4 linked regions of the Lonchura striata genome follow. The protein of the gene in region 4 interacts with the protein of the main gene of each other region in a pairwise test. Links are inferred from orthologs where the notes say so. Each region holds a gene or a part of one and is shown on either strand. Other genes may lie near its edges.

Region 1 (7,505 bases), on a different chromosome or scaffold from region 4:
AGCGTGTGCTAAACAGCCAATTTCAACACATTTCTCACCAGGAATTCAGGAGATCACATTTCCTTTTGATAACTACAAATAAGAAGCACTGCAAGGGCAGATGTGAACACAAGCAAAGAGAAGTAAATAAAATACATGGGCTATGCATGAGGAGATGTTGAGCAATAATAAAACTTGACCTTTTTTTTTATGAAGCTGGGTAATGTATGAAATAGTCTGCAATGGAAAGTGCTCAAAGCTCCATCAGCTAAAGTACATAAAGTGAGGTTTAAAAGAGTGTAAGAACAAACCCAAGTTGGCAAGAGAATGGACAAGATCATCGGTCACCAACAGCACAGGCAATAGGGAGCATACCTGGAAGTAGTGACACACAGAAAATGTCCTGGGGAGAACAAAACAGACTGTATGTTTCTTGAAATCTCCAGTTTAACACCTTGGCACATCCAAATGCTCACATTTCCTGACATCCAAATTATATCCATTACAAGCAATTAACTACCTGAGCTCTGGAGAGCTGTGCCATCAGGACAGTTTCCTCATCCTGAGGAGGAACAGCCAAGAGTGACTTCAGCTTGGCAAAACTACTCTCCTGAAGGAAAAGGTCAGCAAAAATTGAGGCACAAAGCATCTCATTAGAGGGGCTCAACATCAAATAAAGCCCAAAGTAAAAGGGTAAATGAAAGCAGTCTATTACCTAGACAATAACTGGGGGCAATCCCATTTCTTTACTATCTGGGCCAGAAAAAGTTAAATGGATTTTTGTAATGTTATATGGTTATGGTCACAAAATATATTGTGCAATTACATGGGGACCACTAGCACACCCTGAGCTGCAAAATTGGTTTATTTTTCATAAAACTGGAAAACAAACACAGAATTCCCAAGTACCAACACAACTGAAAAGGTGAAGCCAAATAATGCATCCTTCTCAGTGGTACTTGGGGCTTGTCCTGAGCCTGGTTTCAAACTTTTCTCAAATAGACACTGCTGTCTATCCAGAGCTGTTCATTTAACACAGCAGCCAGTCCTAACAAAATAACTGTCTTGAAAATCACTAAAAAACACGACAAGATATTGTATCAGGCTACTCTAATTACATTGGGACTTACCTACTACTTGTCATTGTACTGCACAGCTGTACAGATCAGACACTTTTCCCTTTGCTTTTACTATTTGCTAAAATGTGTTATGCCCTTTTATTTCTCCTTCTCCCAGTTCCTAATTACTGGCATTCTAAGAGAGGATCTAATACTGTCTAGATAATTTTTTTAAATCAAAAGAGCAATCATATTAATCTCAACTCTGGATCTTGGACTAACTTTAAAGGTGGGAAATCAGCCTACTGAAAGTGCCATAACATTTGTTCTAAATAAAGCAACTGCTCTTTTCTGCTGGCAAACAGAGCTTCAAATGAGGACCTGAGGATGTTCTTCAACTTAAACGGACCATTAAATGAATCATTATTAAATGAAGATTATCCTACTTAGAACATCTGTTTGACAGTAAGAGAACTGCTCCTCAACATAGTTTCAGAGCTGCCTGGAAATCTGGTAACATCATCCCACCTTTTCTCCATGAAAGTGATTTATAAATGCTATTCGCAATTTGGGCTGCTGTGTCTTATCTATTCTGTTCCGGAAAATATAGCAAACAATATACTAACTGTCAAACTCAAGGCAATAAAACTACTCTATAATAGTACAGGAAAATGAAGAAAGCAAAACTATCTTGTTTTAGCGAGCAACATAGAGTACATCCTCAGTGGGGATATCCACAGCACACTGACAGGGAGGCACAAGCCAGCTATCTGAAGTCCCTCATATGACACTCTCCCAATTCTTCCACAAACATTATTTTACGCAACAATCCCATGAACCAGATAACAATTAGCCTACTTCTGAGAGAAACAGAAAAATTGTCACTGAATGTCACAATATTCAAAAGCAGTGACAGAGTCAGGATCAGGGTTCAGACTTCAGTCCTCTGAAGCCTGTGTAGTATCTGAAGAGTATTTCCCCAAACCACTTCAGTCTGCTGTCCTGCAAGATTAGACACTGCTCAATCCCTTACTCTGCTTGAAAGAGGTTAAAACTGAAGAGATTAAAGAGTGCCCCATTAAAAAGAGGTAATACAATGAATGCAGTGCATTTCCAAGATATACACTATTTCATCCTCTTGCTTCATAAACTAACACATTTTTAACTACATTGTACTGTACAATAATTTTTACTTTTACAACATAAGACACAAAATGTACGTATATTTTTACTCTTCACTCTATCTAAAACAAAATACACTTGAAGCAACTGTTTAACTGTTTAACCTTAGTTTCCAGTAAACTGAGGAAAACAAAACTAGAGGGAAAAGGAATGATTTACACCACTACACCTCCCCTATTATATTGTCATAGGGTGACTCAATAAAAAAGGAGCTATTACACAAACAAAAACCCAGGGTTTAAAGTTTACTGCATGGTCAACTGGATAGTACGCACGACAAATTAGCAACATAAAATTCTTAGTCTATAATCCACATCTCTATAGAGAATCTATAGCCAGAACCTGTGCCGATAATCAACGGATCCTTGTAACTGCCTGCTGTATGAAACAGACTGCATCCATATCCTTTCACAGGATTTCACAGACCTTTATTCACTTGCTTAGTTTTCCCCATGCCCGTGCCCTCTCTCATCCATAGGAATTGTTTATAACTTTGGAGCAATAAGTAGATAATTCTTCTCTTAATCTCCACCTGTAACTTCTGTGTTATGGACCGCTGACTTTTATTTTGACGTTTGTTCTCAAGAACCAACTCTTCGATGAACTACAAAACCACCAGTGCGTTACTTTGATTCCCGCTGGAAGGGTCGCTCCGGCAGTGTGGGAATGTCTAGCCTGACATCCCTCTCGAAGGGCAGCAGCAAACGAGGCGCTGGGCGCTCCTGGAGCTCTCGACCCTCCGGGAAAACCCGCTGGCAGCCGAGGAGCTCCGCGAACCGCGGGAGATGCACCGCGGCCAGCGTCTCAGACTGGAGCGAGGAGGTGGCGAAATATTTACACAGCCTGTCAGTTTCACCCACGCGACTTTGATTATAAACCACGTTTTGCCAAGAGTGCTGCTACCTTCAAAACCCCCGTCCTCGAGTGAAAAACAGTTACCTACTACCTCTGTCCTCGCTGGTACCAAGCCGTGCCATGGCGTACATGACGTTGGCCGCACACCGGCTGGCTGGCCCTGCCTGCCAGGTGCACCTGCCCGCCGCCCGGCTCGGCCGGGGGCCGCCTTCCCCGGGCCGCGGCCGGGCGCGCTGCCGGCCGCGGTGCCGCCCGGCGGGGGCAGCTCCCCGGGCAGCGCTCCCAGCCCAGACGGAGCGCGGGTTACCGCAAGGGGTGCCGCGCTGCGCCCCTGGCCCTCTCCCCGCCCGGGCTGGGCGAACTAACTCAGTCCCGCCGCACTCGGGGGGAGGCGAGGCCGTCCCGTCCCGCCGGCGGTGCCCCCTCGGGCAGCGCCCCCTCGGCGCCTGCCCGCGGGGAGTCCCGCGGCCGCAGGAGGACGCAGCGGCCCGAGCAGCGCGGCGCCTCGCCCGCGGCCCCTCACCTTTTCTTCTCCTTGTCAGCTGTCATCGCGGCGGCTGCTGCCGGCTCCTGCGCCGCCTCTCGGGCCGGGGCGCGCTCAGCACCTGCCCGCGGGACGCGGGGCTCCGCGGGCGAGGAGCGGGGTCCGGTTCGACCGGGTCGCCCCCGAGGCGGGCGTACAGTCTCAGGACACTGCCGAGGATTGTACGGCCCGCCCGGGGGAGGCGGCGGTAGCGGCGGCTGCTGCGGCGGGACAGGAGCGACGCGGCGGCGGGGCTGTACAGCTCGGCGCCGCCCGCAGAAAGTTCTCACTTTAAACCTTGGGCAGCCGCCGGCCGCGGGGGCAGGGCCGGCCCCTCCGCCCGGGACCCGGCCCGCACGGCCCGGCCCCGCCGCGCCGCCGCGCCGGCCAATGGGGGCCCGCGGGGCGCCCCGGGCTCCCCGCCCCCGGCACCGGCCCGGCCGGGGGTCAGCGGGGCCGCTCCGCCCCGCCGGACCGCTCCGGCTGCGGCGGGGCTCCCGCGCACGGGCACCCACCCCTCCGCCGCTTATTTTTTAGTTATTTAAGTTTTTCGTTATTAAACTTAATTTTTTTTTTTTTTTTTTTTTTTTCCCCGCCGTGGTGTCTCCCCGCCGGTGCGGTCCGAGGGCCGCCGCGACACCTGCCCGGCGGCCGCGGAGCAGCTGCGGTGCTGCCCCGGCACCGAGCGCTGCTCCGGCAAGCGGGGAGCTGCCCCGCACTCGCCCCCTGGAGCGCCCCCCGTTCAGCCCGAGGCATGGGTGTCGAAAAAATAAATTGAATATTACGAAAATAAAAGCCACAAGGACGGTGCGGGCTTGGAGCGACGCCCCGGAGCCATCGCGGGCGTGCGGGGCCGCCCTCGGCCCGGCTCGCACACGGAGGAGCGGGAGTGTGGCAGCAGCTGGGGGCAGAGGGATGTGCAAGGAAGCAAGGGCTGTTCTTTTACCTCCCTGATGGGACTTCCTTCCTCTCCCTGTTTTTTCGATTTTATTTTCTGTGTCATAATGGATATTTCAATTCAGGCACTTTTAAAACTCGTGGTTGATGACACATGGTGGAGCGAGTCTGTGGCAAGAAGCGCCGAAGCTCATCTCGTGCTAGCACCTGCTATAGCTTGCTGGAGTTAAGATAAATGTAAATAATAAAAAAAACCCTCTTGCTTTGAGCTCTGTTTATTTTACACCAAAGCCACTAACCTTCCTAGACAAGGGATTATGAAAAATTTTCCTGATATTGTCTTTCAGCATAGCAGAAACTTCAGCTTATCCTCATGTTCTCTACATTTTTATATCTTGAACCAAATGCACACCTTTGTATTAGGCTCCACAAGGTTTTCTTCTAGAAAATGGAAGTATTGTAGGCAACATGAGACTAACAGGACTTATTTCTTGCTAATACAAATTTGAGCCATTTCCCTATGTCATTTCAGAGGCTCGTTTGTATACAATGGGTCAGAGGGTGTTTTCCTTTTCTTTTATATTGTATGAAAGTTTAAAGAAATGCATTTGGGTTTGAATTTGCATATTCTGCTCTCAAGTCTGAAAAGAGCTACACATGCTTACACAGCAACAGCCTAATTATGTGGTAACAGTTGGGTTTTTTTTCTTGTATAACAAGAGAACCTAAACAAAAGAAAGCCACAAATATTTAAAACCTAAGTAAACTTAGTCAAACAGAATTTGTGTATGCAGGACTAAATTTAACCTTCTGGGAATATGAGAATGCAACAGGATCAAAGACCCAAGTCACTCATTTCCTAGATTAAATAGACCTCTTCATCCTTCATTGATCTCTGCTGATGTCAATGCTCCTTGCTGTATCTTAAAACACTTCACTTGGATAAACAAGTTGCCTTCAAAAATCAGACAAGAAAAGCATTCAAACTGACTAAATCTAAACCACTCAGTAAATTTTAAGTATTTCACATCTAGCTCATTGGCCAGACTCCTGTTGGCTCAGCCTACATGGATACAGTGTAGTTGATTAACAGTGTAAATCTCTCATTCTCTGGGCCAGCAGGGCCTGAAGGTTCTTTGGGAGAATTTGGGAGAATTCACATCTGAGCACCACTTAAGAACCACCACCTGTCCTGTCCTCCCCTGCACAGACAGGTTGGTGGGCTTCAGCACAGGTCAGTGCCCAGAAAAACAGGAATCTTTCTGCTGCATCAGGAAGGTGAAGCAAGCAAGATTGAGTGATTCTTACAGCTCCCTCACAGCTTCAGTTCTTGAAGTTGTCTATACTATTATTTCTGGCAAATGAGCTCCCCATCTTGAACATGAAGGAAAAAAAAAAAAGGCCTGTCTTCTAGAGCTTTAGTTATTAATTCATTCTCTTTCCCAGGACTGTTCAGGGAGGGGAAGATCAAATGTATCTTTAATACCACTGTCAATTTACTAGACGCATTCTGTGGTGATAAGGGATCCCACAGCACATTTGGGAAGGCTTGCTGGGGTTTCTCCTTGCTGGATAACAGTGGAGAGAATCACATAATTGTATTTCCAAATGCATCTTGTTAGTATTTTAATTTCCTTTATGATGAGTCAGTATTTATTAACAGCAGTACCCAGCATAACATGGACTTTCTCTAACCTTATACTACTCAGAAAATTCGATAGGAACTACGCCATTAGTGAGCACATTTATTTTACAAATCTGCTCTATTTAACCACAGAAGATACAGCTGCCAGAAAAGCCAAACAAAGCCTTAAACTGACAGCAAACATACTTTGTTCTGTTGATTGCTATCAGCACTGTAAAGGCTCTTTCCATTTCATATTCCAATGTTACTCCTTACATTTTACCTTGCATTTGCTACGTTTTACACTTTGCTTAGTAGATATAACTCAGATAAAATCTCATGGAAGAGGATAAAGTCTTCGGGGAACTTCATGAACTGAACTTAACAGGGGTTAACTCCTCTTTTTCCTCCCCTCATCAAAGATTTCAGCAGAATCAGCATACCAGATGGGACTTCTTTACTTTTACTGGCTAGAGAAAATACAAGCTGCTGTGTCTTAGAGAAGATGACACACGTTCTTCCTATGTGAATTATTCTAGAGATGCTATAGGAACACAAAGTTTTTAATTTCTAAAAGCAGCCTTCAGGTGATGAATTTGAGAAGTCATTGATATCTGTCTTGTTATCAGTTGGGTTCTTGAAGGGTCCTTCAAGTCTAGAGGGGACCAGTTTATGTCAGCTGTGTCTGGACTAAACTCTGGGGAAAAGAGAGACTTACAAAAAAACCCGGTGGTGTGAGAGCAACTTTCACAGCCCACACTGAAGTTTAAACCGCATTGACAAGCTAGGAAATCTGCACAGGGTAGTGACAGGGCTCCTGGTGCTCATGGGGAACACCCCATCACCCAAACAAGATGCTGGCCGACTCCTGATTAATGCCATTTATTCTGAAACACACCAGTGATTTAGGACCAGTTATGCTGCATTGTTTTTTTCCAAGGATGTGCATATGTATGTAATCAGCCATCCAAATCAGCACTTACTCCGGTTTGAATGCGCATAGCCATCATCAGCCAAGTCAAAGCACTTCTAGTACTCCGGTTTATGTATGCATGCTACTGGCACTGCACTGACTGAAGCGTGTTGGTAAAACAGAAGTTTGACGCTGCTCAGCAATTAATGCTCCAGAGTAGTCAGAAGAAAACATGGATACTCTATCTCTTGCAGGGGAAGCATAATTTTTAAAATTAAAAGCAGCTCTTAAATTATTGAGAGGATAAAGTGTTTTAGCTTCATTGATAATCTCTGTCTGATTTATTTCTTTTTCTGGCTCCTCAATATTGCAAATTCAAAAAATTGATTATTGTAATAACAAATAATGACATTATGGGAAAGGAATGGGAGAAAAGAGAGCCCTGTTATTCAACACAGCTGATGCTTTGGAGGA
Region 2 (7,805 bases), on a different chromosome or scaffold from region 4:
TAATGTATGTATGTATATGTAGATATTCTATGTCCCATAGCATGTCACAATAGCTTTAGACCCTCCCAAAAAACAGCAATAGCAAAAGCAGCACTGCATAAATAAATCTACCACCATCTACGCATTCTGCTTAAATGCTATTACATGGTGTTTCCTTTTCAAACTTCAGCAGTCAGACTCATAAAATCAGTCTATCAGCTGATGCAGATTACCCACTGAATTAAATTAGCTAAAATAATACAAATATTTACATGGCCTCAGCCTACCTTTTCAAGAAGTCTTATTAAGAGCAAGGACCAACATACAGTTAAGCCAAATCCAGGAAAATTATCTTTTTATACAGATAATGATCCTTCTGCAAAATCTGCAATTCAAGTGCATCTCCCTTAAGAGCCTAGACACAAAACTAAAAACACAAATGGAAGTTACCTAAGTTCATCTAACACAGAAAGAAAAGCAATTAAATGCACATAAAATGTGTATTTGGCTGTTATTTTTAACTGTGTGACATTTACCAATCCAGGGAAGAGACAAATAAGCAGAGGCAGGGGCTGAAACACAGAGCAGGCAGTGTGGGGAGGAAAATGATGAAAAAGCAGTAGTACCATGTCCTGGTTATTGAAAGAATGGAAACCACTGTGTTTCCGGATGTTCAGGTCTCCTGTCCCTGTACACAAGTGTCAAGTTCCTCCTTTCCACCATTCCTTCTCTTGGCGTGGGTTTACCACCTGTATCTACAGTTCCCTGCACCTTGTTCCCAAGATTTGTCATCCATGATCCCACAAATCCTTTGTCTCTATTCTCTTGTCTTCAGTTTCTCCATGTATCCATCACCAGTACTTCTCAAAAGTGGGACAGTTCTAGTACCACAATTTCTTGTCACCATTCAAGTGAATTAAACAGTCTCCTGCTTCACTCTTCCACTGCATCACCAGGCACACCCTGCCACTGAAGGCACAGTTGAGAAAGTCTTCTATTCTCCTTCCTGAACTCACTGTAGAAGCAACACCTTGGAAGAGTAATTGGGGGAAAAGTCCATTCAGCCCATCAGCCACCAACTGGAATGCTCTCATCCTTCCCAGGAAGAGGAGCAGTTGCTCAGCTCCTAACAGTGCTGGGATGTTCAGCATGCCTTGTGCTGAGAACATCTTCAAGCAAGTGCAACAGTCAAGCCCTCAACAAGTCCTCTCCCAAGAGCACATGCCTGGAGCATTGTGATAAAATTATACTGGAAAGAAATTCTGGAAGATTCTCAGAGGATCAACAAAATGCGCACCCCCATCACAAGATGATCCCAAGCAAAATATCTTTTCCTTGATCCAAAACATGATGCCACAAGAATTTAAATCTGAAGGAAAGTGTTTCTTAGCACAGTGAAAGAAATTCAGATTCCCAGATCAAGGTCTCCTAATGCAGGATGTATACCTAAACCATTTTCATCAAATACGTGGTCAAAGAACAAGTTTTTGTCTTACCACGTTCTCAGAAATAACCAAACCATTTAATTTGAAACTTCCCAAAGACAGTCTGCCTTCAGAAGGCACTCATCCTGGAAAATACCAGCCTAAGCTCAAGCTTAGGAAATGCATAACCACCTGACAGCAGATCATTGTACTAGAAAGCACTAGCTAATTTTAACTGTAGACAACATTGCTGCCTATGAAAAAAGAAACAACTCCTTCAAGGGCTCTTGCATGCTTCAGTGTAGAGATTTGGGAAAAAAAAAATCATAATTCTGTGGATTCAACCTTGCTAATGTGCAGGAAGGCACCTTTATTTATGAAGGAGAACTAATTTAGGAAAGCTCACTGAAGACCCAGGCTTTGGAGCACACAAGTGCTGCCAGCTTGAGGAATCACCCTGATGTCACATACCTAGTTCTAGAAAACCTTCATTTTCACATCTTCAGTGAATGTGCAGTTTGGTAATCACATTCTCCAAATACTCCTGGGCATCTCTGCAGAGCAACCCTGTGTTCTTATTCATCTACTGAAATGTATGCAGTATTGGGCCCTCCACCAGCTCTCAGAATCAGATGTGCATCAGTGGATGAGCTGGCTATGTCTGGACACTGTGAACTCTAATTATTTAGTACCACCAAACAAATTAAACCCACAGTTTAGTGCATTAACATCTCACACTGGGATAAATTAGATAATTTTCCACTTCAAGAGGCAACCACTTGTTGAACTGAATGCTCAGGTTGCCTGCGCCCATCCGAGAGATCCCTACAGCCCTTCTGGAGGTTTAGCGCCATGAAAAAATCCAAGTTCCTCTGCTGGCTGTAACGCTTATAACCGCTAATTATTTCTGAGTCACTTGAGTGAAAGTAAGCTGCCATCCTGTAGACAGCTAAGGAGTAGGGAGCAAAGTTTCTGGATGAGCGTGCTTGTTAATTGACAAATCAAGGTAGTGACCACAGAGGAAAACACCACGGCACAACCCCGTGTGAATCCGGTGGTGCCGTTCAGCCGTGTATTTAAGGTTTACCCCGTGCCACACACGGATGCAAACACGCGGGAAGGGAGTTCTGCGCAGGGCTGCTGCAGCAGCAGGGCTCTCCCAGCGCACGGCACAACCTCTGCTCCCCCCAGGAGCTTTCACCCATTCCAAATCCCCACTGCTCCTACTGGAAGTTTTCCTTGAGCAAACACCCGCCCGGTCGCATCGCAGACCCTGTTGCTGTCTGGCTTATAGGAACCCCCAAAGTCAGGAAATGTCCAACCACACCAAAACGAGATGGCGAGGAGGACTGCTTAGGGGGCAACTTATTTTCCAAACGGAGGGGCTCGCCCGGCCGGACCTCGCCAGCCCGGCCGGGACAGACACGCCGCACATAAGCGTGCTCCCCACGGAAACTTTCCCGCGGCAGAGCCATGCCACCCCGCACCACCGGGCGCGTCCGTGACCCCCACAGAGCGGGGGGCACCGCGGAGCTGACCCCGGCCGCCGCCGCGGGGGTCACGCTGGCCGACCATCCCGCGTGGGTGTCCCCGGCGGGCGCCCCCCGGGCGGGTGTCGCGAGTGGGCGCCCCCCGGGACGGAGGCAGGGGTCGGGGCCGCACGGCCGCGCGTTACCTGGGGTGCCGGTGCTGCGGGAGCGCGGCGGGGAAGCCCCAGCCGCCGCCGCCGCCGCTGCTGCTGCTGTCCGCGGTGGCCACCTGGGCGCGGGAACCGCCGCCGGTGCTGGTGCCGCCGAGCTGGATGCCGCCGCTTTTCCGGTGCCTCCCGGTGCCGTTGCGGCAGCGGCCGCCGCTGCTCCAGCCGCGCAGGAGGCCGGCCTCGGGAGCCGGCAAACTCTTCCTCGCCGACGAGGAGCCGGGGACGCTGCCCGCCTCCTGCCTGCCGCCGGTGCCGGTGCCCTGTCTCATGGTGCGCGGGGCCGCCGCATGCCGCTCTGCCGCCGCCCCGGGCGCCGCGGGACCCACGCGCGCCGGGGCCGGGGGCTCCGCCGGCACCGGGAGGCCGCCGGGAGCCCGGGCTGCTGCGGGGGAGTGCGGAGGCCGGAGGCCGGGGGGGCTGCTGGCTGGGGCTCCTGCTGGGGCATTAAGTTGGACGCGCGGCCTGGAGAGGCAGGGCGGGCGCGGGGGCTGCGGGGCCGATAGTTCTCCGCGAAGTTGGAGCCCGGCGGGCGAGGCGGGGGCATCCTCTCCGCCGGCCCTTCATCGCCGCCCGCCGCCGCCTCCCCTCGCCTGCCCCCGCCGCGGGGCCGCCGCCCCGCGCCCTCAGCGGGCGGCGCTGCGGGGGCGCGCCCCGCGCCCCGCGCCCATGGGCGCAGCCGCGGCGCCGGCGGCAGAGGATCTCCCGTGCCGCTTTCCTCCGCCGCTCGTAGCCTTCTCCGGCAGGGAGCGGGGGGAGCTGGGGGGAGTGGGGGCCAGGGGGAGCCCGAACGCGCGGTTGTTGCTCAAAATGGGTCAGGGAGGGGGAAAGGGACCCCGGCGCTAGGCGCCCCCCTACCCGCGGTGGGCGCCGGGAGGGCCGGGCTGGGGCGGTGGGTAGCGAGAGGGCTGCGGAGGAGCTCTCCCGCCCCAGCTCCTGTGCACAAGTGCAGGGAATGTTCCACTGACCTACATATTTTTCCAAACATACGTGACCTTTTTTTTTTTCTCTCTCTCTCTCTCGTTCTGTGGGAGGAGACAGGCGAGGATCCAAGAAAAGGAGAAGCTGGAAAGAGAACGAAAGGGGAAGCAGGGGAAAAAAAATCCTCAACCAAAGAGCCAGCCCCGCATCAAGGATGGTTTCACACCGCCGCCGCGAGCGAACCCCGGCGTGCCCACGTTTACATATGTCTGTAGCGATATCCCCGCTGCGCACCGGCGGACGCCTCGGTAGCCTGACCCCGGGAGCCCCCGGCGGCACCGCCGGCCCCGCTGGCCGGACTGCGCCCGGTGCCCGGCCCTGGCTGCCGGGGCGATCGGCGGGACCCTGCGCGGCTCCGCCCGGCGGGCTCGGGACACGCTCCCAGCTCGGCCTCCGCGCCGAGGGGGGTCCTGCGCCCTGTCCGTGCCCGCTGTCCCGGCGGTGCTGGCAGCGGGAACCGGGCCGGAGCGGGGCACGGCACCGCGCTGCCCGGGGCAGGCTCACGGCCTCGCCGGGCACAGACAGGAGCTCCCGATCTGGTTATGCAACGGCGCACAGGCAATTGGAGCAAAACCTTGACAGAGAGCGCTTTTTTTTTTTTTTTTTTTCTTGTTTCAAAGTAGGTCATTCTTTTTATTCCCTATTTTGCCTTTTTTTTTTTTTTTCTTTAATACTCTTCCTGCAAAGTGACCAGTAAGAGAGAAGGCGGTGTGGTGTGTTGGAGCGCGATAGGAGCTAGCGATCGGAGCCTTGCTCTTGCCTGGACGGGCACTCCTGCCGGCTTCTGGAGTTGCCCTTCTTTCCGGAGTTGCCCTTCTTTCCCCAGGAAGGCACAAGTGGCCGGGGAGCGGGGGCACGGCTCAGGCAGAGCCCGCCGCCTCCCCGCCGTTCCCGGCCGCGCTCCCCGAGCCTCCCCCGGCTCAGCCCCGGGCGCCGCGTCCCCCGGGCCCCGCCGGCTATTGCCCCCTGTCTGCTGTCGCCCTCGCACTGGCTTTGTACCCGGGGCTTGTTGGCGCTGCTGGCGGACACCTTTCACCGGCAGAAGGTGTTTTCCCCGGATATACAGTATTTGCTTTCAGGAGAGTTGTATTTTTTCTGTTCAGAGGAGTTTGCTGGGGAGGGAAAGCCCCCGTATCGAGGTGCAAGCTGTGTCCCTAGCAAAAGGCCTGACTGCACAGCCATGCCTCTTTCCATAGTTTGTGTGGTGGGGCAGGTGTTGTTTCCCCGTGCCCCCCCATGCCTCCTTCGGTAAAGACACGTTAATCCTTGCAAAATATCCACCAGCAGAAAACACTGCCTGCTCCGGGTATGCGTGTGTGGGTGCAGCATGTGGACTGATGGTTGCTCCAGCTACCTGTCTCCTGCAGGGAGCTGTGCTGCTTCTCCCACTACCTTCACCACCCAGCTCACCCAGTTATCCCGCTGTGATGTTCACCTCCTGCCATACACCTTATCCAGCCAGTTATTTGATCCAATTCAATCCCCAATGCAAATATGAGTAATTACAAAGTATGGAAAAATGTTGTGCTCCTTTGCTGAGCACTTTTACACCATTCTTTATACAACGGGCATGACTAATGTCGAAAGGGTAACGTTGTTTACTTTTAACGAAGATTAAATACAAAACTTCAAAAAGCTCCTCCCTTCCTTTGGATGAAAGCCAGCATTTTTTCCCATTTGGAAATTGTCAAACAGTGGTTAAACAATCCTTTGGCAAACAAGTAGTGCCTGAGGGAATAAAGCATCAGATACATGGGGAGTGGAATAAAAGACATTTCTGTTCCTGAGGTACTTTTCTTGTGTTGCACAATGAAGTATAACATAAAATCTTCAAGCCTTGTAAGGTTAGAGAAAAGGAACTTCCCATGATTATATACACTACATGATTTGATATTCCAGTCCTTTTGAAAACCTACCAAAATCCTTTCTCCAGACCAACACTGTGCTTTCAGAAGCTGGGAAACCAAGTACCTTAAGGAAAATACCAGGTTGAGAAATGCAATCAGAGACACACAGGGGCTCATGTACAAAATTACATCTCTATCGTACTGTGTTTTTACATCTTCCCTGTGAATTTCTAAGGACACCGTTGCACAAGTGAACAAGTGAGACTGGTTGAGGTTTGTTTCTTAATTCATTCCCTAGGTTACCAGAGTAAACTTTAATTAGGGCAACAAAGAGCAGAGCGGCTGAGGGTGAGGCAGGCTTTTCCCAGCTCATACCTGAATCCCGTTGTGAAATACCAGCCATTCAAAACACAAAGCCTTTCTCCCCATCCAGTGACACATGGAAAATAACCAAATGCTGTCAATCCCATGTTTGGGTTGGAAATTAACCAAAGGGTTATGCTAGATGCTACACGTAAGAACTTTAGGCAAGGAGCCCAACGTTCAATTTTAAAGAATGAAATCTTTTAATAATAATGAAGTATTAGTAAGCAGCTTTTCAGACACCAGGAGCCTGTGATTCAAAGACGCAATCCCTTTTGTTTCGACTAGAATAGGCTGGCCAACCTTCACAGCCCAAAACAAGGCAACAGGGTTTTCAATAGGCTGTGAACCACAGGCTAGGTGTCTCCCAGGGAGGAAGACCAAGGGGAAGAGCCTGAGAGGACAGCAGCACCCCAGGGATCCGGCTGCTCCATTGTGGCAAGACCATGGGAGGGATTTGGTGTTGGGTGTGAGTTCAACCCAGACACACTGTGTTTAACTCTGTTGATTTCTCTTGCTGCCAGGAGTTAAATTTATGAGGTGCTGCCACTGCAAGGCACAAGAGCTACTTTGGACATCGCTTGGCTCCAGAGTCAGAGCCTGGCCACCACAATCTGGAAGCAGAGGTGTCCCAAGTACCTAAAGGGGGCCTACACGAGAGCAGAGTCACTTTGCAAGAGCATGTAGTGATAGGACAAGGGATAAAGGCTTTAAAATGAAAGAGGACAGGTTTAGATGAGATATTAGGTGATTTTTTTTTTTTTTTTTTTTTACTATGTTGGTGGTGAGGCACTAAAACATGTTGCCCAGAGAAGTTGTGGGTGCCCCTCCCTCACAGTGATCAAGGCCAGGTAGGATGGAGCTTTCAGCAACTTTGTCTAATGGAAGATGCCCACAGCAGGATGATCTTTAATGTACTTTGAAACCCAGAAGGTTCTGTGATGATTCTCTGATTGGCTGTGCTACATAAAGGCTTTTAATTTTCAGCAGACACCAGTAGATATTGTGGGGAAAAAGATGTCATTTGCAGCCCATAATTGAAATGTGAAGCCTACATTCAGATTAGTGTTTGTGTAGAGGTAAATAGGATTCTCCCAAATAATCATCCTCTAATCAACATAAATGGCAACAGTGGTGCAAAAGTCAGAGATGGCACTGCATGGTAGAAAAAAAATAAAGGACATACAAAAACCTGACCAATTCCACTGGATATGAAACTGTTTCGTTTTCAAGAAAGTAAGGATATGGACAAGGATTCATTTGATTCATATTAATTAAGGGGCACAACAGACTGTGGGCAATTTTTCCTACCTTCCATGTTGAAAGCAGGAGCAACAGGAACAAATAAATGGCAAATAAATCTAATGTCTCATGTTAGTCAGAAGAGTCACACCAGCTGTGTTTGCTGGGAGCTCTGTGCTTCTTTCCAGACAGGCTGGCTGGGGGAGGAAAGCATGGGAGCACAAGGACAGATGTGAGGAGCTTGTTCTTTGGATAATGTACTTCTGTAACCAA
Region 3 (7,993 bases), on a different chromosome or scaffold from region 4:
TTCAGTGGTGAACCAGTTCATTAACACTGAAAGGTTAAATATACTTTGCAAAGTAAATAAACAGAAATTAAGAATGGCAGGAACAATCACTACTGACTTTGCTATGCCAGTACCTACTAACATCACCTCATAATCCTCAGAAACAGTTCTACACCTGCTTTCACACTCAGCCTTCAGTTTGCAGTGCTCATAGAGAAGCTAGTGCTTTCAAAAGGCTGAAACACTAAAATAAACTTTTCTTCACTTCAGAGATCTACCAAAGTCTTTGTCTCGAGCAAAACTAATTCATGACAGTGTGATGAAAAGGCACCTTTCAGCTGTAATTCCAATTCTTCTGAATTATATTTTGTATTAAAAACTGTATTAGGATGATAATTTTCTACTTCAAGAGGAGAGCTATCCATAGTCTTCATTATAAAACTAGGCTGAAACCATGAGGCACTGACAACAAATTATATGTATCTCCTGAAGGAAAGCGTAGATAAAAAAGAAGCTCCTTTCAAATGAGGAAATTACCTAGTAAAGAAAACTGCATTTTTGATTCACAAAACTTTTCAATACAAGTTTATTTGTTTTTAATAAAAAAAACCCCACAACTTTCCAAGTTGAAAAACATTTAATATAAAGAACATGTGGAGAAGGTGAGGGGCAATACCTCTACTATCACTTAATACCTTCAACTTTTCTCAGAAATTTAAAATCGGGGCGGGGGGAGGGAAAGCAAAAGCCTAAAGCTCTTAAAAGCAACAATTTATTTTACAAGACCAATCCAACCACAAAGATTCATGACTTCCATGAAATTCTATACCAAGAAGCTAATTAACCAACACTGCAAATAAAATTTAAGGTAATTACCACTGAGTTTTAAAATTGCTTAGTACAAAGAGAGCAAAGCTACCTACAGCAGAGGTTTGGAGGTCCTTAGAAGAGCATTAGTAACAAAAACATACTCCTTTCCTCACATTCTTTTATTTTACCTAAATGTGTTAAAACTTTTCCATGTAAGAGCATGAAGCGGAAGAAATAAAAAACAAGACATGGCTGAATGGCACCTGAAACTATTAAATATCAACCCGGAAGTTTGGGGTTTTTTTCCCTGTTTGAATTGTTTGTTAAGAAGCAGTAACCCTTGCCTTACCAACAAAATTCTCAGATAAACTTGCCATATTCTACAAAAACCTAAACCAAATACATTTTGTCTGGTAATCTGAAAGCAGCATCTGTAGCAAGTTTGAGAAAGTGTCTTAAGTGGATACATATGAAAATTAATAGTTTAACTTATAAAAAAAATTAAAAGCAAAATTACTTTCAACTAGAATCTCCCTATTACAACAATCAAATGCTGTCCATTTTCAAATAACAGGCCCAAATCCCACAGATATTTATAAACAAAGTCAATATTATTTCTGTAAAACTGAACATTGTGAAACAACTGCAACTGTTCATACTGAACTTTGCCAGGACTACCACAGTCGAGCTGTATTTCTCAAGTACTTCTTTCTCTAGAGTATTTGCTTAAACAATCCTCTTGCCTCCTGTTACACCTGTTAGCCAGAGAAATTATATAGGTTAACTATAACCACGTTAAAAAGAAAAAACAAAAACACAAAACCTAGGTAGTCAATTTTAACCTGGATCATTTCCTCAAGCTAGTTACAGGACCGATTTCCAAGAACCGTTGTGCTGGTGCAGCTGGAGCAAGGAAGAGGCAGACCAGGTCAAGTCAATACTGCCACCAAAAGCACTGCTTGTCAACCAGTCATTGAAGTAAAAATACCTACTTTAAGGATTTAGAGCATCAGGTTCTATGATCGGCCACTCTGCGTCTACATAGAGTTACATATTCCAGCCAAAACCATACCTGATTTCCCCTATGCCTCTTGGTAGGTTATCTCTTTAGCATATGAAAACAGGTATACAAAAATCTTACTGCAAATATATTTGATTAGTTCACAAGCACTACTCCCCATGGAAAAAAACCAAACATTTCCAATTTATACCGAGGCCTAAAATATCTGGAACTTGAAATTGAAACCAACGAAAAATCGTGATCCAACTTAACCCAAACACAAAACTGAAGTACCATGGATTTCCAGTCCCTCGCTGCTCGTATTTCACACCTGCATGCACGGAGCATTAAAGAGACTGACTTTAAGGCCGCAGTAACTCGAAAAAGGACCGGGGTATACTGAGAATCCCTCAGGTTTTACGAGCGTGAACACGTTGCGGTTATCGCAATAAAGTTATCGTAACCCAAAAACAAAGGGAAAATTAAAAGCCTACGAAGTGCATACGTAACCCCGCAGCTGCAGCCCACCTGCCGCAGGGAGAGCGCGGGGCACGCTCTCGCCACCGCCCGGAGCCCGAGGCCCCGCGGAGCTGTCCCGCCGCGGGGAGGGCCCGGGGCCGGGCGGGCACCGACCGCCGCCCGCCCGCCGTGTCAACACCCGCGCTGCGGGGCCGCCGCCGGAACCTCCCCCGCGCGTGGGGCGGCGGGCCCGGGCGCGCCCCCCGGCTCCCGCGGGACGAACCGCCCCGCGGAGCGGCGGCGCAGGGGCCGCGGGGGGAGGCGCCGCCCGCAGCCCTGCTCGGCCCGGCGCAGCCCGGCCCGCGGGATGCCGGGGAGTCCCGCGCCCGCCCGGCCCGGTCCGCGGGCGCGGGGCCAGGCGGGCGGCGCTCCCGCCGCGCCCCGGAGTTGTGACAGGAGCAAAGTGGGTCACCGGGCCTAGCGGGTGCCCCGCGAGCGCCCCCCGCCCCCGGCCGCGGCCGTGCCCGCCCAAGGGCAGCCGCTGCACTCCCGCCCCCCGGTTCGCGGCGGGAGACACACGCCGGCGCTGTCAAACTTCCTCCGCGCCGCGCCCCCGCCTTCCCCTCGCCAGCGCACACCGGGCCCCGGCGGGTCCGCCCGCACCGCCCCGCGCCGCGCTCGCTGCTCACCTGGCCCCGCGCTGCCGCTGCCCGCCTGCCTGCCCCGGCGAGCGCCGCTCCACGCGCGCAGCCCCGCGCCCGCCGCCCGCCGGCACTGCCTGACTGAACCTGCTGCTCCCGCTCCTCCGGCGGCGGCACGGCAGCACCCGGGCCCGGGAGTCCCCCCGACACCACCGCGCCTGCGCCGCCGAGCCCCCACCGCCGCCGGCCGCCGCGGCGCCTCGCGCCACCGCGCGTGCGCCGGCGCGTACTGCAACCCGCGGCAGCCCGGGGCCGCCGCCGCCGCCTCCGCCGCGCGTGCGCAGGAACGGCACGGCGGGGCGGCGATCCCCGCTCTGCGCGCGCGCCTCGCCTGGCGCGCGGGGGGGCGGGGGAGGGCTGCGCGCGCCGCGCAGGCGCGGTGGGCGCGCGCCTCCTTGACCTCGGCTCACCTCGCCTGGCCTCACCCCGGGGCGCGGGAAATGGCGGCGGACGGGGCGCCGCCCGCCGAGCCCGCGGAACGGGCTCGCTGAACGCAGCCGCTTCCCCGCCGGCACCGTGAACCCGGCGCAGAACGCCGTCGCACGCGTGTTCCGAAAGCGGAACGAGCGACATCCCGGGTCCTGTCCGGGAAATGCGTCCCGAGGTATTTAGGGGTTCAACGAACCCGTCCCAGCGGAGGTCCGTGGTTTGTTCTTTCCTGTGCATAAAGCGGAGAAATTCCCAGAGCGGCAGAGACCAGACGTGTTTGCCTCAACCCTTTTGTACGTACGAGGCTTTTAATACAGTTCCATAATATTTAAATATAAACCTGCTATGCCTGCAGCAAAACATTGTGGCGAGTCGTTTTTTGTAATATAAAACGCTTAGAAGTAAAATTGTGTAAGTAATCCAAATTTTTTTCTCACAGTTAAAAGGATTTTATTTTTTAATTGGTATCTGAATAGCAATGTATTTAAAAGTATCTGTATAAGTTTAATTCGTGTTTATGTCTAGAATAAAATAAAGAACTTGACTGCAAATTGTCATGGATTTCTTTCTGGGTTACTTTTCAGGTAGTTCAGTTTCCCCATTTGATTCACAATCGTGACCAAAGTCTAGTGCAAAGATACTGTAGGGACAGGAGCTTCTTTACCAGTAAAGCTCCCAAAGAGCTGACCATAAGCTTTTCCACTGGAAGAATTCTGAAAAACATTAGCAAAACTGTTTATTTTTGTTTCTGATTCACAATACTCTAATTTTAGCTTTCAGTTGAGGAAAATGTGGCATAAGGAAAGATAATTATACTATCTTATGCACAAAGGATAACACTTATGATAAAATGTAGTAGAGACAATAGGGTAGGATTGGAATATCAAGGAAAAAATGCAGGAATATTTTCACCAAAAATGCTTATTTATCAGAACTAGAATATGGCAAAGAAACCAGGAGGCTACAAATAACTTTGCGCTGTATCTATTGAATTTTCCAGAAGATCTTTAATAAGCAGTGGTAATTCTTCAGAAGAAGGGGTGCTGCACTATCTCTTCACACCTTGCATGAATAGGAGCATAACACCTACTCACTGCAATGTTGCAGTGACAAATTATTCTTTGACAAGATCAAAACAAGCAACACAGCTGTGGAGATGATGCACATTTGCATTTTCTGCCAAAGCTGTGGCCTAAGCAAGGTCATTTTTTTAATGCTGCTTTTCTTTTGGCAGTATTTTGTAGGATCCTGAAGGAGCAGAACAGCTTAGAGATGGTGTGGTGGTTTTATGAACTATTCTTCTAGAAATACTATTGCTCTGCTCTTGCCATCAGTGTGGCTTTGCTGTGTAATGGTAGTTGTGGTTCACTCACAGACTGTGAAAGCAAACACAACTTTTAAACAATGCCAAATTAGGAGCAGCAGATCTTTTGTGAATTGGTGAACGGTTGGACTCCATTGAGCTGGAAATGGAGACATTTCCAATGCACTTCCATTAACTAATAGCCGTATTTCCTAGAGAAATGCCATTGCTGTCCTGCATAATGTACTTCAGAGCCACAGAATGACCACCTGCTTAGTGTGCTCCTTTTTGATCCACACTGGCCTGTTCAAAAGAGGATCTCTTATAGGAAACTGGTACCAAAACTAAATTTCACATCACTCCAGAATACTAAAATGAGCGGATGTTAACTTGAAATCCTGTCACAATCCACATAACCCTTGCAAAGCAGGGTTGGCTAATATTCCTGGAGCCTTTTCTGCCAAACAGTGTAAATGACTCAGTACCAGAAACATCTGGTTTTAACCTGCAGATTACCTTGGATTTTGCTGCTGCTTTGTCACATCTGATGGCTTTTATTACAACCGTGTGATCACTTTGGTTGAACAAAGGCAGGGTCACCAAAGGGGGATGTTTGGCTCTTTTCCTGTTGCATCTGCTTCCACTGTCACACACTGTCCCTTGCAGCAGCCACAGTAGTGGGAGGGAGGCTGGCAGCTGAGAGGAAGCAATGCTGCTTTTATAGCAGCCAACTTTGATACTTGAAGGGACTGTGCAGTCGTATCTAAAGTCCCTGATGACCTATTTACATTTAAAACTACTAGCTAGCGTTCTAGTTTGAAGTGGCAGATAACGGCACATAAGCCGTTGTCTCTGAAATGCTTCTACTAGTTATCTCTGAATCTGGAAAATAAAAGCTTCCAGCAGTGGTATCTGCCAGTAGGTATCCACCAATAGGCTTACCAAAGGGGTAGAAAACCGTATTTGAACTAACTTATGTCAGAACACATGATCTTAATTAATTTTTTTTCAAGCAATACATGTTTTTATCTCAGTAAAATATCTTACCATGAAATTGCAAAATACCGTGCCTAGGCAATATTCTTACCACAGAATTATGTAAATCTTATGCAAGTTATTTGCCTTTTTTTCAGATTCTTTTTTCCCTTCAAAAATAATCAAATACCTTTTCAACTTTTAAGAAGTGGACTTTAGATCTCCTCCCCCTTGTTTAGCTATCCCAATGAACCTGCCTTGTATTTCACCAGTTTATATACAAATACTGTGGCTAAACACCTTGTAATTCTGAGTGCAGCAGTTTACAATGGCTTTGAGAAACTTGCCTTCTGGAAACTTTCAGGCCAGCAGTTTGAGGTGTTCATTAACCAGTAAACACATTGGGATACTGAAAAAGAATAAGGAAATATAATGACAGTTGTGGTGTAAATGATGTGTAAAATAACTGAAGTTATTAAAGCATTTGAAGAGCACAAGTCTTCTATCCTATAGTCTGCTTCTACTTTAATTTGTTATAAGAATTGCAGGACAAATTTTATTTAGCTTCTTCCAAGATCATTATGATTTAAAGAGCTGTTGAAGTAAAAAAACATAGCAGGCACAGTCTAAGAAATATGTTAGTAAAGCTACCAGACACTTCAGGCACTGTACCTCAGTTTCATTCCTCACTAAGTTTTTAAAACTGATTTTGTCCATTGTAGAATTTAAATAATGTTTTTGAATCTGTAACATACATTCTACTTTATTTAAACTAGATTTTAATTTAACATCTAAATACTTCTCCATTCCCTAAGTAACATCGGGGAAACCTTTGTATATTTTTATTTTTAGCATGTCTTACCATGTTCATTATTTTCATAGTTACTATTTAAAATACAATCTATATAAACCCCAAAAATCAACCAGGAAATGAAGAAAACACGGACACAGAAAATGCCAAAACCAACAGGGATTTTTTGTTCCCCTCCAGGCCTTTGAGCAATTAGGATCTTTTGAATCTGACTGAAGTTAAATCAGCTGGCGTGGCCTGTGGACCTTGGAGGTCAAAGGCAGGTGATCCAGTTTTGTCATGAGGATTTTTGTGGATACTCATTCCTAAGGGATTACAAATTTCCTCAGAGGCTCTTATTTATGCAATGGTAAAATATAGAATTGCTTCTCCATTATATAAATCAAATTAAAATCAAGAAAGGCCACTGGTTTCTCTCTTCAGATCTTGAAATTTAAATTACTGTAATTCTAACAATTTCATTTGGTTGTCCTATTCCTTTTGCTCCTGGAAAAAATATTTGATTCCTGACAATTGAGAAGAAACCCCCTCCCAAAATACTTGAAGGAAAAGATAAAACTGTATGGGTATTCTCAGTTCAGTCAGAGAGAAAGGAGAGTTTCTAACCAGGCTGAATCTAAAACTGGTCTGAATCTAAAATATGATTATACATTCTGTACTAATTCTCAGTGTTTTTCAAAAACATCTGATAGAATTGCTAACATACACAGAACCAATCATGGGAGTCCTTTGACATTTCTGCTGCATCCTGTCACAACTTCTGCTACCATCTGAGAATTTACAGGGCCATCGATAAATTAACAAGTCCCCCAGCTTTCCTCAGTTTACGTAACTGAGACTTTTTCTGATGGGCTTTTGATTTGTTCACGTCAAAGGAGAAATAAAGGTAGAATAATCCTGTTAGACCACTCCTGCTGAGAAAAGAAAGTGAAAACAATGGACACCACTTTCTTAGTGAAACCCAGAGCTCTCAGTAAGGTTACATACATGGTGATAAACATGCACAGCAAAAGAAATCTTCCATGTATTTGAACAAAAGTGAACAATTAACTCTCACAAAGTGAATTAACAAATCGAGTAGGTCAGATGCGCTATGATTCCATTGTTTCTAAGAAATTGCTATTTCATTAGCCACTCTTATTTAATTTTTCTAGATTTTTTAAAAAGTGCTAGTTCAGTTCTTTGTGTTGAAGTATTCTACATCTTATGCAAGAATGTAATTACCTTGACCAATAAAGATTAATCATAGCCCAAACATCCTCTGGAGCATTTGTAAACTTCTTTCACATACTGCTTTCCACAACTTTCTCTTAGCTTCACATACTTTTGCTTCCTCTGAAGACATTTCCATTCCTGCAAGAGCTGCTGCTTAATTAGAGAGTAAAAATAATAATAGGCATCTTTGCAACATTTTACATGCATTTTACAATAATATCTAGTGCAACGCAATTACTTAAATTATTTGAGTAATTCTTGGGCTCACAGTCAACATTTTAGAGCTAGAAAGGTATCTATGCCAATCTTTG
Region 4 (7,834 bases):
TGCTATAAACACCAGTTACTGTCATGTATTAAAGGTTCAGCGAAGAGCCCGATCATCACCTTTGAATAAGAAACAAGAATAAGAAATGATGTCTCAAATATGTGTTAATGATCTGGTAGCTCTTTATGTTTGTAGGAATTATCCAAGTGCTGGCTGACTTGACACTGACCGTGGAGGAGGAGCACGACAGGCAGAAATACTGCCAAGAGACTGATCTGATTTTCTGACCGAGTGCCAAAAATGTCCACAGTGAGTTGCAACTGCACTAAAAAATATGAAATAAAATGTGAATCAGGTACAGTAGTTCTGTTTCTAGTGAGTCAGTTAAAAAAAAAAACCCAAAGATTTTAAATGTCCTCATTAATGTTCCCATGTGGAGAGTTTGTATTTAATAGCTGTTTAGCTATTAAGCTTGTTAAAACAGTTTTGGGGAGCTATTTAAATGTTTAACTCATCAAGCTTTATAACAACAGCCATCTTCAGCTTTCTGTGGTTCCTGAGTCCCTGAAACATTTTCAGTCGGTGTGGCTGACTCACTTCTGAAATCCCCCTAGCATTTGGGTGTCCATTGATCATGCAGACCTGGAGGAGTGAGCTCCCAGCTTCAAAACTGGGGCAAGACAGTATTTTAGCAGGACAAAAGATGACATTTAAGCTTCCTGGGAATAAATCCTTAAAAAATTTTCTCAGTATCACTTGTGGTATATGAATAAAATAAGTGTGCATTAATGCTAGCAGTTTTCTCAAAGACAGCAACAGCATCTTAACTGATTTTTAGCGCTGCCTTCTGTTTTTTATTTCATTTAGGGCAGAAAGGGCTTGCAATTCCTTCTGCTCAATGCAAACTCGACAAGACCAGCTGAACCCATCATGATGGAGATATACATACATATATATAGATATATGTATATGTATATATGTATGTATGTATATATATAGTTGCAGTAGTAACAGTGGGATTACATAGAACATAAAGCTCTAAAATGAAAAGTCAGACTTCCAAGGGAAAAAAGTACCCTATGAAGAAGTGTGCATTGAGACTGTCACAGAAGCACCATGGGATTTCTTCAGCAGCACCCCCAGCTGGGAGCCACGATTCCCTGGCCTCTTCCCTGGAATATTCTGTCAGAGCCATGCACCCTCTCCTTCCACGTGCTCTAATCCTTGGGCTCTGCCATGGGCAAGATGCTGAGCTGCCCACTCCCACACAGACAAGGAGCTTCCACATCAGATGGAAAATGTACTGGGAGCTTCCAATTATAAAAGATGTCACGAATGGAGTTCAGGACCATGTCTGAGGAACCATCCTCAAGATTATAGTTTGGAGTTCAGACAAGTGAATTCTGCCTACATCTCTGAAAGCTGTGAAGGAAACACATCCTTGTTTTCTGGTTGGGCTTTTTCCCCCCAGCTTTACCTAGCTAGGTGAGTTGCTGATTTTCCACCACACTACATAAAATGTATAGGTATTTGAATGCATTTGGCTTGCAGTGTTTTTTGGGGGGATTTACTTTCTCTAGGCCTTAGAATCACAGAATCATTTTGCTTGGAGAAGACCCTGGAGACCATTGAGACTCAGCACTGCCAAATCCACCACTAAACCACATCCCCAAGTGCCACATCCACACATGCTTTAAATACCTCTGGGATTGGTGACCACCACTTTCCTGACAGACTTTTCCAATTCTTCATTGAAGAATTTTGTCCTAATATTTAATCTAAACCATCCCTGGCACAGCTTGAGGCTATTCTCTCTCATCCTATTGCATTTTACTTGGGAGAAGAGAACGATCCCAACTGCCTTTCCATGTGTATTTAGTCACATTTTCTTACTCAGTTTTAGCAAAGGGTTTTTTTATCTTAAGAATCTGCCCCCAGATCTGGAAAAAATTATTCCCTGCCTGCAGCTCTAAAGACATAAAATTTAACTTAGATAGTGACCACTAGAACTGATGATGAAAGAACATAATATCCTTTGAAAAATATTACAGCTACTCTTGCCAGCTCCACAGGATCCCCATTATTAACAACAGGCAGGGGAAAGCCCCCAGAACAGTGGGAGAAGAACACCTGCAGAAGGAGCTTCCTCCACACACACGTCACCAACTCTGCAGCTCTGGCCTCACTGGTGAGCAGTACCAGCTACACTTCAAGTTCCCTTGTGCCTGAGTTCATAGAATCACAGAGTATCCTGAGCTGGAAGGATCCAGCTCCTGGCCCTGCACAGACACCCAAACAATCCCACCCTGCACCTGAGGTTGTTGTCCAAATGCTCCTGGAGCTCTGGCAGCCTTGGGGCTGTGATCATTCCCTGGGGAGCCTGTTCAGTGCCTGAGCATCCTCTGGGGAAAGAACCTTTTCCTGATACCCACCCTAACCCTGTCCTGACACAGCTCCAGCCGTGCCCTGGGTCCTGTTCCTGGTCTCAGATCAGAGCTGCCCCTCCTGTTCCCCTCGTGAGGAAGCTGCAGAACTGCTGTGAGCTCTGACCTCAGTCTGCTCTCCTCCAGCTGAACACACCAAGTGCCCTCAGCTGCTCCTCGTGTGGCTTCACCTCCAGGCCCTTCACCATCATCTCCTTAACCCTGCTTTGGACACTCTCTAACAGCTTTAGATTTTTCTTATATTTTTCTTATAAGCAGCACCTGTGCAGCCCATGTCAATGGCACAGTTCAGGATTTGTGTGCTTGAGCAAAAGCCTCTTCTGTCACAGCTGCAAGCGGAGCTGAGCGGGCACAGGCTGCACTAACACGGGGCAGGACAGTGACAGAGGCTCTGTCACGTGGAAGAGACACTGCCGAGGTCCACGTGTTGTGGAGGTTTAATTTCCGACTGGTTCTAGTGGGACCTGCTGGAGGGAGGGAATGCCTGGGAACGGCTGGAACACACTAATCTTTCACAGATGCACCTGGAGGTCCTGGTGCACAAGGAGCACCCCTCGCTCACACCGGCACTCCGGGGTGTGAACCAGTGCACCGTGACGGGCACATTCACTTCGGAAGCACACTCCTGGTACTGCCAAAAACCAGCTACAGCTCTGCTAACACACTCCAGCACACTTGTAAAGGTTATCTCTACTTTATGCTACTTTTCACTGATAGATGGGACTGCTCTCTGAGCACTCACAGAGGCTTCTGCTGACCAAAACTATTCCAAGATCCTGACACTGATTTATTTAAAAAAATATGGATATTGATCTAGTACCGATATCCAACTGTGATGGATAAAAACTCTCTAACAATTTAAAGTTAGAAAGTGTGTGTTTATTGTGTGTGGGATAGCTCCCAAATCTACACCACACCTTCCAGGTGATTACAGACTCTTTTTATCCATACAAATATTGAATACCCAAAATACAAATACGTATTCATCATTTTGGTACATCCCATTCCCCGCTTTGTATGCTAATCACTCCAAAAGCTATTAAGCATGCGTAGTTTATTCCTTGAAATGGGTCGGTGGTCCCTTTCATGGGGAGGGGTCCCAAAATGAGGAAGTCAATGAAGTCTTCCTCGTTCTGACCTTTCTACCTTTTCAATGCAAATATGACAAATGAACTCTTGGTAGAACTCCCTTTCCTTGTCTTCAATTGGTTTCAGAACAGAGGAGGCCCACAATTGTCTTTAGTTCCTAAAAGCTATTTGTCAGTTTCTATATTCTTCATTACAAACCCAGCTAATTAAACATTGTGCTGATAAGCAATCAATTTTTAGTTCACTACTAACTATTAATTTCATCAAGGCCTGCTCATTTATTTTAATTAACTCTAGTAAGGCTTATCTCTAACTAAAATCTTAGCTCCTCTAAAATCTCTAAATTCCTTAAAATTTACGTTTCAGCACTTCCTCAGGTGAAGCATCCTCTGTACAACACTCGGAGAAAGGAACAGCAGCCCTGCCCAGCCCAGGGATGTGAGCAGGGCACCAACCCGAGTGGTGCAAAACGGGGAATATGCCAAGATTATCTTAACTCAGGATATTCTTTCATGTAAGACCTTTGTGTATTTCCAAGCCTAACCGGCAAGAATGCAGATCTAACCATTGGAAGAGACAGCTGCCAGCATCCCTTACTCAAGGACATCCTGGAAATAACATGTTTTAAGGATGCGGTAAAGCAGTGTTGATGTACGTCTGTGTATACACTGCTAACTTGGCAAAACACTCCCGGTCGATGTGTTCTACGGCTGAATTATATTCATTGTAAGACAAAAAAAAAAAAAAAAAACCAAAAAAAAAAAAAAAAAAAAAAAAAAACAACCAACCAAAAAACCGCGTGTCTACGCGATCGCCCCTTGCCGCACTTGTCCCGGAAGCTGCGGGCCGGCCCAGGCCGGGGCGCGCGCCCGCCCCGCGCGGCCTCGTGAGGGAGGCGCGCGCCGGCAGCGGCGTCTCGCGAGAGGCGGCGCGCGGCGGGGGCGGGAACATGGCGGGGCGGGGGCGCTGAGCGGCGGCCGGCGGGGCGGCCCGCGCTCCCTCGGCGGCGCCGGCGGCTCCTCCTCTGCTCACCTCAGCTCACCCCCTGCATGCCGGCGGTGCCGGGGGCGCTGTGGAGCGGGGCACGGGGCCGCCCGCCATGGCCGAAGCAGGAGCGGGAAGCGCGGAGGGCGCCGAGGAGGAGCGGCGGGCGGCGGAAGGTGGGAGCGGGTCCGCCCGGGCGGCGGGAGGCGCGCGCCGCGTCCGCCTCTCCCCTCGCGCGGTGCCCCGTGTGGGGTGCGCCTGCCTGTTTGTGTCCGTCTGTCCGTCCGTCTGTCCGCCCGCCTCGGTGATGTGGCACGGGCGGGTGTCGTTGTGGGGCTGGTGCCCGTGGGGCGCTGCCGTCTTCCCGTGAGGGCGGCTCGGGACGGGTCCCGTGCCCGGCGCCGCTCCGGGGCCGCTCGCCTTGGTTGGTGGCTGATTGCTGCTGGGCGCTCCTCGCTGGCTGCTCCCGCTCGGGGGAGTTCAGTGGAGGTACCTGGAGCGCCCACACGGAAACACACAATCGCGGAATGGGGTTGGAAAAGACCTCTGGAGATGGTCCAGTCCACCCCCGTGCCCAGGCAGGGTCACCTGGAGCAGGTGACACAGGAGCGTGTCCAGGTGGGTTTGGAATACCCCCAGAGAAGGAGACTCCAGGCCCTCCCTGGGCAGCTGTTCCAGGGCTCTGCCACCCTCAGTGTGCAGAAGTTCGTCCTCAGGCTGAGGTGGAACTTCTTGTGTTTAGTTTGTCCATTGCTCCTTGTCCTATCCCTGGGCAGCAGTGAAAAGAGCCTGGCACCATCCTCTTGGCATCAGCCTGTGAAATGGTCACTGTGCTGTACAGCTGTGACAGATGTGTCATCATACTGATGCAATGTGCACTAAAAATCTGGGGGGTTTTGGTTTTTTTTTGTTGCTATTTTTTTTAAACTTAGTTTGTAGTTCACTGTTTCTGGTACACACGTACCCTTGCCTTCCTAAAACTCTAGTATTTTTTTTTTTTTTTTTTTTTGGTAGGTAAACAGAATTTAGTATTTTAGGTATAGTGATTTTGGCTTTTCTCTGTGTGTCTGTGTGTGTGCCCACGCTTGTATGGCGACCAAGGTTTGATCTTTCCATGTTTTTAATCATAAGTTTCTGGTACTAAATCAAGGCTGGTTGTAAACCACCAGCTGCTGCTCATGTTCCTGCTGGGAAACTAGTAGAAAGGGAGCGTTTTGCACGGGGTGTGGGAAAACAGAAATGGTCCGGTCCCTCCTGAGCCATCGCTGCAGCTCTGTAATAGTTAGCACCAATTCTTCTAAGCTTAGTAGTTGTTTTCTAAATGCCTCTTGGGTTATGTGTGCTTTAATGTATGTGGGGATCCTTGTTGTTTCAAATCCTTGATGAGTTTCTGTCTGTGCTGCTTGGCTGTGTAAATCCTGTTGTAAAATTTTGTGGCAAATAATGTATTGTTTGAAAACAAAGTGGTGGTGTGTGTGTGGAGGGGGGGATTTGGTAGCGTTTTTGCAGTCTGCTCAACTGTGCTTAAAACTTAAGATTTATTGTTTCTATATCATGCATATACTGAAAGGAGAGAAAACCATCAAAATGAAGAAACCTGCAAATGCACAGGCATTTCCATTTACAAGTAGATTTGGGAAATCAGTGAATCACAGGCTTTCATGTTTTATTGTGAGATAAACCCCCATCCCTGCTTTCTTCTACTGCCTATGTTTATACCTGTTCTTTTAGCAGATTTTAATGAAACAAGTTTTGGGATTCTTTATTTTTAAGACAAAAAATATCTTAATTGTTTGTGGGATAGGGCCACACTAAAATTACCTGCCTAAAAGTTTTTAGGTGTTTTTGTTTTGTTTTGTTTTGACTTGAGTGTACACCTCATTGTTGGTACCTTTGCATGGTATGAAAAAACAACTCTAAACTGGACATTTCACATCCAAGAATCAAATTCATTGTAAGAAGAAATAATTTGGTGGGTGATTTCGGAAATGAATCATTGTGAACTTTTGAAAATTCCCTGTTTGGACTGCAGGGCCAGCTAAAACCAATCAAGTTCTGCAGCTGACTTGATAGGACTCAGCATTTTGCAATCACATGATTCCAAAACTTACAAGAAAACAGCTCTCCACCATTCTTCTAGGAGTGTATGATTGGAGGGGATTTGTGGTTGTGTTTTTTGTTTGTTTTCAGAAATGAGCTATGATATATGAGACTCCCGATTCCTATCAGTGCTTTCTACCTGGTGTGAACATGAAAGTGCCTGGGAAAGCAGGGTACCCTTTCCAGGCCTTTGGGAGTATCTTTTCATTAGCTGGTTCCTGACTTATTTTATTTTTTTAATACACTGATAGATTTTGCCAATATTTTGTGTTTGAAATCTGTGAAGTAAATGTGTCATTTAAGTGGCAAGTTGTGATTCTTCACTGCTTCTCTTCCAGCTGATGAAAATAAGTAAAAATAGATGCGGAGAGTAATCAGTTGCCTCTGTTATTTTTTTATTTAAATGTATGTAATTCAGAGTGTTTTAATTTTTTATTTTTTTCATTTTGTGAGATTAAAACCAAATCCAATGTTCTTAACATAGATGAGTTTATTCTCTGGATAGTGTTGTTCATAAGATACTTTCATTACTGAATTCTCTGTATCTTGCTCCTGCATTACACATGCTTCTAAAATTTGGGCAAAGAAGAAGCTGCTTTAATCCATACATTTCTATTATTTTCAGAACTTCATTCCAAAGATTGTTGTCCCAGCTTTCAATTAGAGATACTGTAGGTGATGGACTTGCTGTAAGTAATTTGAAAATGCTTTTCATGGCCTATTTTAAAGGTCTAAAATAAATAAATTCAAAGGATTTTTTAGTACAACTCTCAGCTATGTGTAGAAAATATGGTTCTTTGTTGTATTGGTGTAGAGATGTGCAGGACCTTAAGCTGTACACAGCACCTGTAACGTTCTTCCTCACACACTCCTGGGTGTGTGTAGGCTGTGTGTGTCATTGCCACGCTCTCAAATTAATATCTGCAGCAAGAATTCATTAAAATAAACCAAAAAGTTTAGAAATTTAACTCCAGATTAAAGTGAAACAATTTTTACGTGGTGTGGAGTTACTTGCCTCTGTCAGTGTGAAGCCATTCCCTTGTCCTGTCACCCCAGGCCCTTGTCCAGAGTCTCTCTCCATCTTCCCTGTGGGTTCCCTTCAGGCACTGCAAGGCCACAGTGAGGTCACCCCAAAGCCTTCTCCTCTCCAGGCTGAGCAATCCCAGTTCCCTCAGCCTTTCCTCCCAGCAGAGCTGATACATCTCACATCTTAAAAAAAGAAAAAAAAAAAAAATCACAAACAATTAAAAAAACCACCAAAAAAAACCCCAAACAGA

Evidence for each region.
Region 1: the proteins of BMAL2 (region 4) and EPAS1 interact in binary tests that used the Homo sapiens proteins (3 or more experiments, as listed by UniProt). The link is inferred for Lonchura striata from reciprocal best matches to the Homo sapiens genes BMAL2 and EPAS1.
Region 2: the proteins of BMAL2 (region 4) and NPAS2 interact in binary tests that used the Homo sapiens proteins (3 or more experiments, as listed by UniProt). The link is inferred for Lonchura striata from reciprocal best matches to the Homo sapiens genes BMAL2 and NPAS2.
Region 3: the proteins of BMAL2 (region 4) and CLOCK interact in binary tests that used the Homo sapiens proteins (3 or more experiments, as listed by UniProt). The link is inferred for Lonchura striata from reciprocal best matches to the Homo sapiens genes BMAL2 and CLOCK.

The regions. Positions count from the first base shown.
Region 1 is NC_134605.1:16,709,757-16,717,261, reverse strand, and holds the start of EPAS1 (endothelial PAS domain-containing protein 1), read right to left. Parts: upstream 3,244-7,505; 5' UTR 3,206-3,243; coding exon 3,159-3,205; intron 1-3,158.
Region 2 is NC_134604.1:87,286,002-87,293,806, reverse strand, and holds the start of NPAS2 (neuronal PAS domain-containing protein 2), read right to left. Parts: upstream 3,375-7,805; 5' UTR 3,372-3,374; coding exon 3,079-3,371; intron 1-3,078. UniProt on the Homo sapiens protein: Transcriptional activator which forms a core component of the circadian clock.
Region 3 is NC_134606.1:27,395,200-27,403,192, forward strand, and holds the start of CLOCK (circadian locomoter output cycles protein kaput), read right to left. Parts: upstream 3,047-7,993; 5' UTR 2,938-3,046; intron 1-2,937. UniProt on the Homo sapiens protein: Transcriptional activator which forms a core component of the circadian clock.
Region 4 is NC_134607.1:1,590,522-1,598,355, forward strand, and holds the start of BMAL2 (basic helix-loop-helix ARNT-like protein 2), read left to right. Parts: upstream 1-4,437; 5' UTR 4,438-4,572; coding exon 4,573-4,633; intron 4,634-7,834. UniProt on the Homo sapiens protein: Transcriptional activator which forms a core component of the circadian clock.